Arabidopsis thaliana: one gene and its partner. The protein of the gene in region 2 interacts with the protein of the main gene of each other region in a pairwise test. Each region holds a gene or a part of one and is shown on either strand. Other genes may lie near its edges. The genes, in order: PIP2A and PLDGAMMA1.

Region 1 (5,170 bases), on a different chromosome or scaffold from region 2:
TCTAAAGCTTCTCTCTTGTGTTACAGGTTCGATAATAAACAAGGTCGGATTTACCTGATCAAACGTTTGTAATGTGGGACAAACGTCGGAGGGGAGACACAACTTTTCAGGCATGTCCATTTCCTCCAAAATTTCCAGCACGGTGGCTCTGGCCAGAAGACTTACGAGAAGGTGTGTTTTGTCCTCTCACTCACAGGTGAAATAATTTACCAGCACAACAAGTTTTTCTCCTTCTTCTTTTTGTTTCCCACACAGATGCAACGGGTTCAGGAAGGTCTCGTCTACGGTTAATGAACAGAGGAAGCTTCGGGAGACGTGTATTAGATGGGGTGAATATGCCTTTTCTTGTACATTATGCGATGTTGTTTGCCAAATCTTTGAATTGTCCGCCAAGCATCTCCAGAGTAAACAACATAAATCGTTCGTAAGCATCCCAGCCTATTGTATCACTACATTCGTCATTTTCTTACTACTGTATGAGGTCCCTTTAGAAACTTTCTCGATATCAAATCTGATCTACTGGGTTTGTGACACTCAGCTCTTCCCGAGAGGTTCAAAACTCCATCAATTCTTTGAATGGTGCAGTAGTATCATCATTTCTCTTCTTCGCATAACAATTTATTCGATTAGTACTTCTTACAGTAAATGATCAAACATCTAACACATGTTTTACTTTCGTAATTAAAGGATTTGGATGGTAGGCAGTCTCAGAGGCTGAGGCTAGGCCACCAAGAGGCCAATTTTGAGCGGCCACACCTCTTCACGTTCTCATAAAAAATGCAGATTCTGAAGGGTAAGACTCTCAATCCTCAGCCAAGTTCGAGCATTTCCTATATGATTCATAATTGTCAAGTAACAAACGACTAAGTATGTTGAATCTTGAATGTAACAGTTTCTGTGAGCCTTTGAGGCATATGGGGTTAATGGACAATGGCGGTTTCAGAGAGTAACTAAAACTTACTGCTGGTGCACGCTAGGCTTTATCCGCCTGAGATGTATGAAGACATAAAGGAATGGTCTTTTCTAGAAAGATAATGATTGCGTTAAAGCAGAGACATGTGTTTCTCCAAAATCCTGCTTATTCACTGAGCATCTTGAGGAGGACGTAAACAAGACCAAGAACATGGCCCCATGGTGTTGTTATTCTCTAAGGAAACTAACTTTAGTACTAGTATTAATGTAAACACAACGCATAAGAACCTCTTTGATTTCATTGATTATAATTCCAATCACTCGTTTAAAAGCGAAAGAAAAAACAATTACACCGAAGGAAAATTCACAAAAGAGCAAGTGGAAAACACAAATATAAGAAAGGGAAATGAAAACTGCAAGTGACTGATTTAGATTTGTACAGAGAGATCACAACTTCATTTATTCTTGAGAAATCTGGTTTGATGTGTTTAGACGTTGGCAGCACTTCTGAATGATCCAAGAGACTTAGAACCTGAAGCTCTCAGAACGAATTGGTGGTAGAATGCAGCTATCGCAGCTCCAATGAATGGTCCAACCCAAAATATCCACTGTTTGTAATCACCAAAATTTCAAAACATTATTCCCTTGTAAAAATGAAAAATATAGTTGAATGTAATGGAGAAACGTTGAGGTCTTACGTGGTCATCCCATGGCTTGCTCTTGTTGTAGATTACGGCAGCTCCGAAACTCCTTGCCGGGTTAATTCCGGTTCCGGTAATGGGAATGGTAGCCAAATGTACCATGAACACGGCAAATCCGATTGGAAGTGGCGCCAACACCTTTTATTTCATCAAAATTCAAATTTATTAGTATGATTGAAATCAAATGTTGGTTTGGTTTGCTTTGGTTCCGGTTTTGAGTCGGTTAACCATATTGAAGATTAATAGCACTACATATGTGACTCACCGGAACGTGGGAGTCTCTGGCACTACGTTTGGGGTCAGTGGCAGAGAAGACGGTGTAGACAAGAACGAAAGTACCAATGATCTCTGCGGCTAGACCGGTCCCTGTGCTGTAGCCATCGGCTAGAGAGTTGGCTCCACCTCCGTAACGGGTGTAGTAAGAGCTTTGGAAGGCTTTGACAAAACCAACTCCACAAATCGCACCCAAACACTGAGCGATTATGTACAATAGGGCCCTAGGTAACGACACTTTACGTGCCAAGAATAGCCCAAATGTCACCGCTGGGTTAATGTGACCACCTAAGGAAACAAAAAGAGTTGACAATGTTACCAGTACTTGAGAATTAAGGTACAACAAGCAATTAATTAACCGGTTTCAATTCTGGTTAAGACAGGGTTAGTCAGTTGCTTAAAATAATTACTAGGCTTAGATTAGATATATATCATTCGGATAAGAACCGATTTGATCATGACCCTTATTAAATGTTTTATAAACAAATCATTTTCGTCTTTTAAACCTAAGATTTTAAACCGATTAAATAGTAATGTCAACCAAGCAATATTTTTCCTTGCAAAATAATTAATTTCGAATAAACAAACCAAAACCATACCATATAATTTTTACTTGTCTAAATTTTGAGTTTGCAAGTTGTACTTACATAAGTAAAACTTATTCAGCTTATTCGGTTTAATTGTAATTCTAATACTCAAAAAGTGTATAATCTTAATCTAAACCAAACCAAAATCAAGATTAAAGAAGGATCATACCAGAGATACCGGCGGTGCAGTAGACGAGGATGAAGATCATACCACCAAAGGCCCAAGCGATACCGAGGATTCCAACTCCGCCGCAATCTACGCCACCGGCATCAGTATCGGACTGAATCTTGTAACCGATGACTGTCAAAACGGTGATGTATAAGAAGAGGAGAGTGGCTACGAACTCTGCGATAACTGCTCTGTAGAAAGACCACTTCTTTAGCTCCGCTCCATCAATAAACGGAGCTGGTGGCGGATCTTGATAGTCTCTTGTCTGAAATCCTTCTCCGGGAACGGCTTCCACATCCTTTGCCATAGTTAACTTCTTCTTCTTTCAAACAATAGCTTTTTTTTCTTTTGCTTCTCTGTTGGAGTGGTTAGTGAGAAGAACATGTGCTCTGTTTTATAGTGAGAGCTCTCCTTCTTGTTAATTTGTTTGTATACTTTTTTATTGCTTTATCTTTTAAAAAATATTTTTAGTATTTTTGCCAACGTTATATGTTTTTTTGGTTTTTTGTGTATTGAGGTTTTTTTTTGGAATGAAAGTTTGTATTTTCAATGAAAAAATTGGATATAAAAGTATACGAGTGAGTTATGATTATTATTATTATGAGGGAAGTAGCTTTGACAAAATGATTATGAACTAGCTGTCCTGAAATAAATTTTGAACCAATTCTATTTAATGATTGCTTGATATATCAATATCATACATAGTTACTAATACGTAAAGACAAGAACCCTAGTTTAATTTCAGACTTAGAGTTTTTCAATCGTTGAAATTTGAAAAATTCAAATAAGTTAGCCAGTAAATTTCTTTAAAATTTGATTCGAGTTTATTTTAGATCCTAAATTAGAATAGTTTATTCTATTTAACGTTATAGTTTGCACCAAGTCCATGACAAAAAGATTGATCCAAATCTATTGAACATGCGTCTATAAATACATGATAATGATATGGGATTAGCTAGCTTATGATATCATAAAACAAGACTTTATATCCACTCATATAAACTTGCATAGTTTTATCTCTCGTAGCAATAGGAAGTATCAATCAGTGGTGATGGTGGAGAGCTATCAGAACCACAACTTTGAAATAATTTATTAGTTTTTATGTCAATCAAATTTTTATATGTTTTTCTGGTAAATAATGGAGGTTTTTTTTGTTTACTTTAACTTAGCCTCGCCGCCCCCATCACCTAAATGTCATTTTCTTTAGGACCGACCCAATATACTATATCATCAATATGGTGCTCTCTTCTTTTTGTCGTATAATATCATAGCCTGTCGATTTTTCAGATTTAAAAAGCCACAGTTTTTGTATGCCAAATCATTTTAAAATAACTTACGTCCACTTTTTTTTTTTATCGAATCAGCATTTACATTCTTGAAAACACATAACAAAACTCCAAAACCTTATTTTGCTCCAACGAAGCATGGCTAAGTTTCTTCACTCCAAATCCAACTAATCATGCATGGTTATATTCGAGTGTCTCATTGTATATATAGAGAACATTTTTCTTGTTCACCAAAGTCAAAACACTTTGTTTTCAAAATAGATAGATATATGGTCATTCTCTTACATTATAAACATTTTTGTAGTCTAGAAGGTCTAGTTTTCTATCACCAACATATGTTATTAAGTATGTTTGAGGTGTCATAAAACAAAACCCTACTTGAAGATGTTAGAGCCGGAACTCAAAATTATGACACAATATTAAAGAAGCATAAACTATTTCGTTCACAAACTTTCATTTCAAACTTAATTGACGATAAGTAAATTGATTCGTCGTATATCTTATCACACATAACTCAAATTAGCATTTAAGTTGATATTACTAACATAAAGTAACCAAAGCCTAAACGAACCCTTTTTCATAATTGTTGTGTTGGTATATCACTCTCTAAAACCAGGGTGTAAAGTTATGGTGCCGTTTTGTGGGGTGGGTCGAGATTCCACTGAGGTTAAAATCATATGGTCTGTGTTGGCAAAAGGTGACACGTGAATGGGTGGCGCGCGTGACTAACCGACCCGATCCCTCCGACAAACGTATCGTCACCGTCCAATCCATCTCAGCATATAGCCGTTTGTTCGCTCAACCACTCACATAATGCCACGTTTGTTGTCCCCACCAATCATTTGCATTTTCTCTTCATATCCAAAATTTCATATCTTTTGCGAAAATTGCTGACAATTAGACTGAAAACGAAAATATAACAAAACAATAAATCCCAATAAAAATGACAAATTGTGACAACCAAACAAAAGACAGGAGATGCAGTTCCATGGTTATCGTTTTGCCATGTGGCAAACCTTATCGTTTTGGCTACGTTGGTCGGCTACTATTAGACGAATATTCCACGTCAGCCAACTCTTTTTTCTCATGTTTTTCGAAGTGAATTTTAGATAATAAAAGCACAGAAATGTGAATTTTCTGGTTCTGGTTCTGTTGTTAATTGTTATTAGTATGTTTATTTATATATTTTACACTTTCTTCTATTCATAGAAAACTAGTCTTAACCTTATCTAAATATTCTAG
Region 2 (7,404 bases):
ATCGACACGTCATCGCCTCTTAACATACCAAATAACTCTAACCTAAAGACACACACACCTGGTTGCACACAAAAAAAAAAAGACACACACTTCTTAGTTCTTATAAAGGAACAAAACTTGTAAATAGGGATATATGTCATGACCAAAAAGATATTGTATAAAAGATAATTTTTATTCAATTTTTTTTTTTTTTTTTTTGATCTGTTGATTTAGGTTGGAATGCAGAATTGTGGTGAATTCAACACCATCTCTCAAATCTTTTAGAGATAATATAGATAGATCAGAGAAGATAGAAAGGAAAAAAGATGGTGTGACGCGTTGAATGCTCCATGGCCACTGCAAGAAAATGTAATAACACTTTCAGAAAATGGGGATGTAAGTAAAAAAAATTCGGAAAAATGTCTGCAAACTTATGAATCTACTCATGATCAAATGGAAGAAGAAAATCTCAAGAATCTTGACATTATTATCATTTGCTGACAAATTGCATAGAGAAGAGCAAGTCAACAAATCCTTATCTGCTTCCCTATTCTAATAATTGTATTGAGTTTTTCCTGTCTGACTTGTTGCAACTCCTTGGCTCCAACAAGTTACGAGGGAAAACATAGCGAACTCCTTCCAGTAGTTACTACTTAAACTAAGCTATGACTCTCTTCCTCCTCAACTTAAGCGATGCTTTGACCTCTGCTCAGTATTCCCCAAGGGCCATGTTTTCGATAGGGAGGAATTATTGCAGTAGACCTCTTATACCAACCAAGGAGCAGCAGAAGATTGGAAATGATTACCTGGTGATTTAGTTTGCTCAATCTTTTTTTTCATGACAAGCTTTGTGATGCATGATCTTATGAATGATTTAGCAAAAGCTGTTTCAGGATGACATTTTTCATTTTCTACAAGCCAATGTGATATTGTAATCATATAGTACTAAAGATATGACAACATTACTAAATTAAATCATATAGTAAAAATCCAAAACACACACTTTGATAGATCAATTGAAATTTTGTAATAAATAGATTTACAGCTCATAAATTTGAAAAGCACAACTAGACCCTAAAGGCACACTTTCAATCAGATCACACTGAGAGAGATTTCTTGAAGTGGAAGAAATAAAGAACAAATGTTGATCACTACAAGCCTACAAGGTAAGTTTCATATGGTGAGGTTTTCTTGTAGTGCAAGGAACGATCCTATGATCTTGCCACCCAGATCTGGGAATGTCTCGCATCCAGGAAGAGAACTCACTTTGCCTGTTCTATCAACTTGAACTGGATACTTAAGAAGATGACCTGACATCTCTGTGACTTCCTCTGCTGCATACTGTCTCCAATTCAGCTCACTCAATTGCCTTACTCGTCTCACGCATTCCATGTTCTCTGGTTCCTCGAAACCTTGCTCTAGAAACCCTAGATGTTCTGCCCATAACGACATTCTATACCCAAAGATCTGCAAGAAATTGGGACAAACCAGGGTTCAGACATGTTTAAGAGAACATACATTGGTGGGTTGCTAGTTTTTCGTCTTAGAATGCTGTCCTAGATTGAAAAGTAGAAGTATTTGAAAGTCTTATTTACCTGACCATGAGGACGAGAACCTTTCATAGCCCATGAATAGTGTGGCTGATACCCTCCCATGGCGATTTCAGTATCTCTAGTTCCTTCCAAGGATCTCTGGTTGATATTCGCGGAACCAATTAAGACAAACTCATCATCCACTACCATACCTTTGGAATGAACATATATCATGAATCTTCGACTCTTCAAAGCTTGTACCTAGATTAGTTTGTTGTTTCAGTGAGTTAACGAGGCCATTATGGTGAAACTCAAGATTTTAAAAAGAAGAAATTTATATATGTATACCTGTGCAGCATTTGCATTTGCGTTTGGCTGAGGTGGCTTCCGAGGACTATTATATACGCTAACTGTTCCAACAGGAACTTCTCTGGTTCCAAGACAGAAAAAGTTCAAAAAGTCTTGTGGCTCAAACTGGCTATCAAGACCAACTTCCACAAGTGCCTTGTAGATGGTTTGATACATCATTTGCATTGTCTTGTGCTGCAGAGATTATGAAAAGATTTCCGGTATGAAGACGGCAAGATAGGGTTGTTTTAGCAAAAAATTGACAAATTATTTACCTGCCAGTAGAGAATTCTTTGAATAGGGTTACTTGTTGGAGCACCTTCTGGCCACATTGGAATGACAATATAAGCAGCAAACTTCTCCCTTGCTCTAATTTTGTTAGCAATCTTAAGCGCGATTTCCATCGGGATTAGATTATTAGCACCTGCAATGCCAAAACTCCTTGTTATTACTGCACGCATTGATTACTGAGCTTGCCTTTAAAAGCTTTCAATTTTCTTACCCAAGTCCTTGTTTGAATCCCAGTTGAATGAAGATCCAAGAAAATATTGGTTCTCAATGTAAATGAAGTGCTGAGCAGATCGTATGGCCTTAACATAAGCTGCGTGTATGCTCATATCTATGAGAATATTCTTCCCACATAGAAGATTCTGTTCACAAATACAGTTTGTCAGCAGAGAATAGCAACATGATGACAAACTAAAACAGTTCACAGTTGTTCTTACTCTTCCAGTAGCTTCCTTTGGGTCCTTTGGAAACCCTTTGACTGAACTTGAATCAATGGAACGGAAAACCTAAAGATTAATATCATTGCAACAAAAATTAGATTCCTTTTGTAACCACCACAAATAAAAATAATGCTTCATGAGTTATCAATGATAATTAGTCTTGCTAAATTACCTGAACATGCCAAGACTCTGGATCATTATCATTAGCAGAAGAAGCTTCAGAAAGTCCCACGATGTCAGGAATTCTGTCTATCCTAAGCAAAGAATCATCAGAAGAAGATTTTAGTTTCCCAATTCCGCGAGGTTTTGAAGCCTTCATCCAGCGTTCCTCGAAATTAGCAAGTACATCATATGCAGCTGGACCATCAATCTTGCTGTGAAGATCATGCCATGGTTCTCTTGGTCCATCATCCGCAGTAGTCTAATAAGAAAAACAGATTTTACATGGATCAAGAATAGCGATTTTAATTCCAAAACTGCAACCAAGGAGGATTTTTCTTAAATGGTTACCACAAAATTTGGGTTGTGGAAGTCATCTTTATGGAGTGTCTTTAATGTCCTGAAGAGAGGATGCTTGGGAGTATCAAATCGTCCGTTGCACAAATCTAGCCCTCCAACAAATGCTACGATCTTTCTTCGGTTCTGAGCTGCTTCAGCGTCTACAATCACAGTTTTTTGATGATGCGTGTAGATTGTTCCAACTTCCTGATCATCATAATGACACTCAAATTTCAGATGATGAAACTATACACACGGGAGTTTAAGCAGTAAGCAGTAACTAATGAGCATCTTACAGATTTTTTTATGAAGCTGTGACCTTTCCCTCCAGATCTGGGACAAAGGAGAACTTGCACCGACGAATGCTTGAAAAAACGGCGAGTCTCCTCATCGCTTGTGTTCATAACTCCTTGCTACAACAAAACAAAAGCTTTCATTAAAACGATAGAAGGATCATTGCTTCAGTTAGTACAGACATGTAAAACGATCTAACTGAAGCAAACTCATGCTTTCCAACAAGATAGACAGTAGCGTGGATCTATTTTGGATACGGAACATTAGCCGGATTAAATAGAAACACAGAGAAAAACCTATGCGAAAAATTAAGAACATAGTATTAAACCTGCATATTTTTTTAACTCAGCATTCACGCAAACAGAGAAGCAACAACAGAGTTATGTAGATTCTTACTGTTTTGAATCCCAGAAGACTCCTTGACGTTGGATCGTCCCACACCAAAACCAACACTCTAACACCTTCTTGAGATTTGACTTTAAGCAACTCCCCTAATGTACCTTCGGTGGGATCATTGGTACGACGAACCAGCCTAACCGGATGGAAAACTGACCAACCTGTGATATAAATCAACCTTCTTGCCTGCCTTATTGCATCAGCCATATCCTCCCAGCACTTTCCATGTCTATACTGAATCCCACCATCAAGATGTACACTCGGAAGAGTACCGTCATCAACATGAGCATCCTGATACAGAGTAACCCTACCGCCTTTCCTCAAAGGGAAGTATGTACCGGGAACTCCTACACACTCATTACCAGAACCAACACCCATTTGGTAAAGTCTCATTCTTTCCATTGGAGTGTATTGAATAGACAAACCCAACACAGCACCTTGTTTACAAGGCTTCCCACTACTATTAAGTATCGGAAAGAGCCCTTCGATCCTATTCCCCGAACACAGCTGCTCCGTTGGGATTCCAACAGCTCCCATGATCTGTGATCCAATAATATCACTATCTTTCACAACAAAATGTACTTCAGCAGCACTATGAGCAACCGGTACATCAAAATGCTGCATCCACACAGGATTCTCACTATTGCTAATAACAAAAGTTCTACCAATCACAGCACCAGAGATAGAGACAGTAACATAAGGATCACTAGTGATCTTAGAAGACTTCTCACCTTCCACTTTCTTCCGACCTAACCCAGACAACATCCCACCAAGTCTGTTATGGAAACCATCCATATTAGGAAGATGTTTAGCTTCCTTAACCCAAATGTCTAAGTTACCATGTAACAATTCGACCCTCAAAGAGCCACTACTCGTAGCAAACGGCACGTATTGCTGGCCGCCCCCATGGCTTGACCCTCCTCCCATAGACATAGTCTCAGTATAAGCCGGATGATACGCCATGAAAATCGAAATCAAAAACCCAAAAAGTCAGAAACTTTCAGCTGTTAGATCAAATCTCAAGCGTAACCGAGTTCAGTGAGACAAAAGATCGATCACTTGGTGGGCAATAATCGAGAGATCAAGACTGAAGAGTGAAAAAAAAGAAGATAAAACTTTGTGATAATACAAACTCAGATCAAATGGAGATCTAAAAATATGGGCAAATTTATATGAAATCTCAGATTTTTGTGAAGAAGAAGGTGGGAGGAAACGAAGGGAACGTTGACTTGAAACGGAAGAATCGGAACATTTTAAAGATATTGGCTGCCGTTGTTGAATCGTTCTAACTTTAGCCATTAATAACACAAATTAATCTTCAATTAAACTAATAAATTATTTGTTTTTAGTAACGACGACTAAGAGGACTTCCACTTTGGTTGTTGGCTGCTCACGAAACTCTTTCTCTCTGGTCCCTCTTTTGATGCAACTTCATTTGAGTGGTGATGTTACTATTTTTATATATCAACTAGAAATTAAACATTCGACTTAATAGTGTAAGTAATAATTAAGCATGACATTTTCTTGAAATGAAATCATATTACTATTTAATATTTATTATCAACAAGAAGTAAACATTCGAAAAATCACTAAATTAAACCATATAATTGCGTATTGAATAATAAATCAAGACATTTTCTTCAATGGAGAAGACATTTTCATTGTTGAAGTCTTCCTCAATTTTGAACTATAATTTTCAACAGCTCTAGTGGATTCATATTATCTATCAGTCGTGGTCTTAGCACATCATTATCTTATAGTGAAAAGAAAAAAGTTGAACTTGTAAAGAAATACAAACTAGTTTGAAATTCGAATTGAGGGATTAGGATATAATTTATTTATTATTTTAAGTTTATAACTAGTCAAAATGATTAGCTAATGCAGATAAAAAGTATTTTAATTAGGGATTAATAATCACATTCTCCGATTACAACTTGAAAAAGTTGGCGATTAGTCAAACCGAGCCGGCTAAGCAGAATTATTATAAAAGGCATCACGGACAATAGCCGTTACTCCGTCAAAAAAGTAACGGCGATCAGAGTAACTTAACAGAACGAAAGCCAAAACGTGAACACAAACTCTAATTCGTCTCCCACTTCTCAAAAGGATAAAGAAAAGCTCTGATTTTTTATGAGCAACAAAAAATAGTTTAGTCAAAGCGCAATTACAGTTTATTTTTTGTTAAAACCAAAAAGCTTTTAAGGATTAAAATTAGTTAGGGAATAAGAAAAAGTTGGAAATTTACATAAGTGAAATGAGGATTTACATGATTCTACATTTGCTATCTTTATCTTTAGGGGATTTGCCGTCGTGTCTCGAAGACGCAGCTGATGATGGCCTGTGGCTGCTCCTTGGTACCTGCAATGGTCAGTACAATATCTGATCATTAACATTCATCCAAACACCACAAGAAGCAAGGCTGCATTATATTCAATGAGCTTCTGATTACGGTGTATGATCATTATCGATGTTTTACACTCGCAATTGGTACTTGTAAACTCATCTTAGTCGGTAAAGTATATGGACAGAAAACAAATGTACTAAACAGGACTTGCAGATGTGCTTGTTAAGGCTATACTCTCTTACTATTTTAATAATCAGTGTTGTATATTGTTGCAATGTGCAGGTCACACGGTAATTTACCTTTTCTTATAATCATTGTTAACCATTTGTGTCGATTCCTGCTTTTTAAGAATATAGTGTTATGAGTAGGAATGAAATACCTGTGGACCAGTGACCAATCGTGAGGCAGCAACGCTAGTTGGTTGTGGAGTTGGGTTACTACGTGGGCTCTGGTCCTCAAACTCTTGTTGTTGCAAAGCTATTGCTAGTTGCAGATCAGAACTGCATAGTACCATGGGAATTAAAATTAAACAATCATAAATATGTTTTTAAGAGGACAGTTATAACAAATGCATAAATGTGTCTCTGGTGAGAACCAATGGGTTAGTGGTCAAAGAAAGGTATGAAATATTTACTTGACATCTATGCCTGCATCCGCTACATTGTTGATGCTGGCAAGATAATCCTGTGTAGGGAGAACCAAAAGAAAAAAAATGATTAAAAAGGTAAAAGAAGGAGATCTAATGTGGATTAGTGACTATATTATGAGGAGAACATACAGCAGTATTTGTGACTGCGTTTCGTTCATCCCATGTGCCACTTGCACCACCTGTGCTGCTGTCGATCGTGAAGTCCTTGAAGGTAGCAGTCATGAATGCAGTGTCACCATTAACCTGAAACCAGATTGCATGTCAATAGTGGTCACAACAGCCATAGCTCTAAAGAGATTGTGGATATAGAGATATCTCCTAAGAAGCCAAAATTAGCAGATAAGACAAATGGTGAGTAAGTAACTTTTGCTGATACCTCGTTTAGTTTTTCCCAAACCAAATCAGGCTGATTCAGGTAACCTTGATCTGTAGCCAAAAGATAAAGTTCACCTTCATACTGAAAATATGACAGCAACAAGAAGAATTTAGTTGGGATTAACCTGTTGCAATTCAAAGATGGAAATAACCGCAAACTAAACAAACCTTGAACATGGTGCAGAAATGATTGTTCCGGAAAAAAACACAGAGTTCACGTTCTTTGAGGCCTTCTTGCAAGCGAAAGAGTCTGTAAGATAT

Evidence for each region.
Region 1: the proteins of PLDGAMMA1 (region 2) and PIP2A come close enough for resonance energy transfer, tested with the Arabidopsis thaliana proteins (one study listed by BioGRID).

The regions. Positions count from the first base shown.
Region 1 is NC_003074.8:19,802,506-19,807,675, forward strand, and holds PIP2A (plasma membrane intrinsic protein 2A), read right to left. Parts: upstream 3,226-5,170; 5' UTR 2,950-3,225; coding exon 2,643-2,949; intron 2,175-2,642; coding exon 1,879-2,174; intron 1,752-1,878; coding exon 1,611-1,751; intron 1,521-1,610; coding exon 1,401-1,520; 3' UTR 968-1,400; downstream 1-967. UniProt on the Arabidopsis thaliana protein: Water channel required to facilitate the transport of water across cell membrane. Probably involved in root water uptake. Its function is impaired by Hg(2+).
Region 2 is NC_003075.7:7,128,200-7,135,603, forward strand, and holds PLDGAMMA1 (phospholipase D gamma 1), read right to left. Parts: upstream 5,187-7,404; 5' UTR 4,739-5,186; coding exon 3,776-4,738; intron 3,499-3,775; coding exon 3,382-3,498; intron 3,293-3,381; coding exon 3,098-3,292; intron 3,009-3,097; coding exon 2,760-3,008; intron 2,654-2,759; coding exon 2,585-2,653; intron 2,510-2,584; coding exon 2,362-2,509; intron 2,284-2,361; coding exon 2,135-2,283; intron 2,055-2,134; coding exon 1,860-2,054; intron 1,773-1,859; coding exon 1,575-1,772; intron 1,447-1,574; coding exon 1,153-1,446; 3' UTR 924-1,152; downstream 1-923. Other genes in the region: AT4G11860 (FAM63A-like protein (DUF544)), read right to left, coding at 6,038-6,133, 6,499-6,619, 6,754-6,803, 6,898-7,011, 7,145-7,225, 7,312-7,393. UniProt on the Arabidopsis thaliana protein: Hydrolyzes glycerol-phospholipids at the terminal phosphodiesteric bond to generate phosphatidic acids (PA).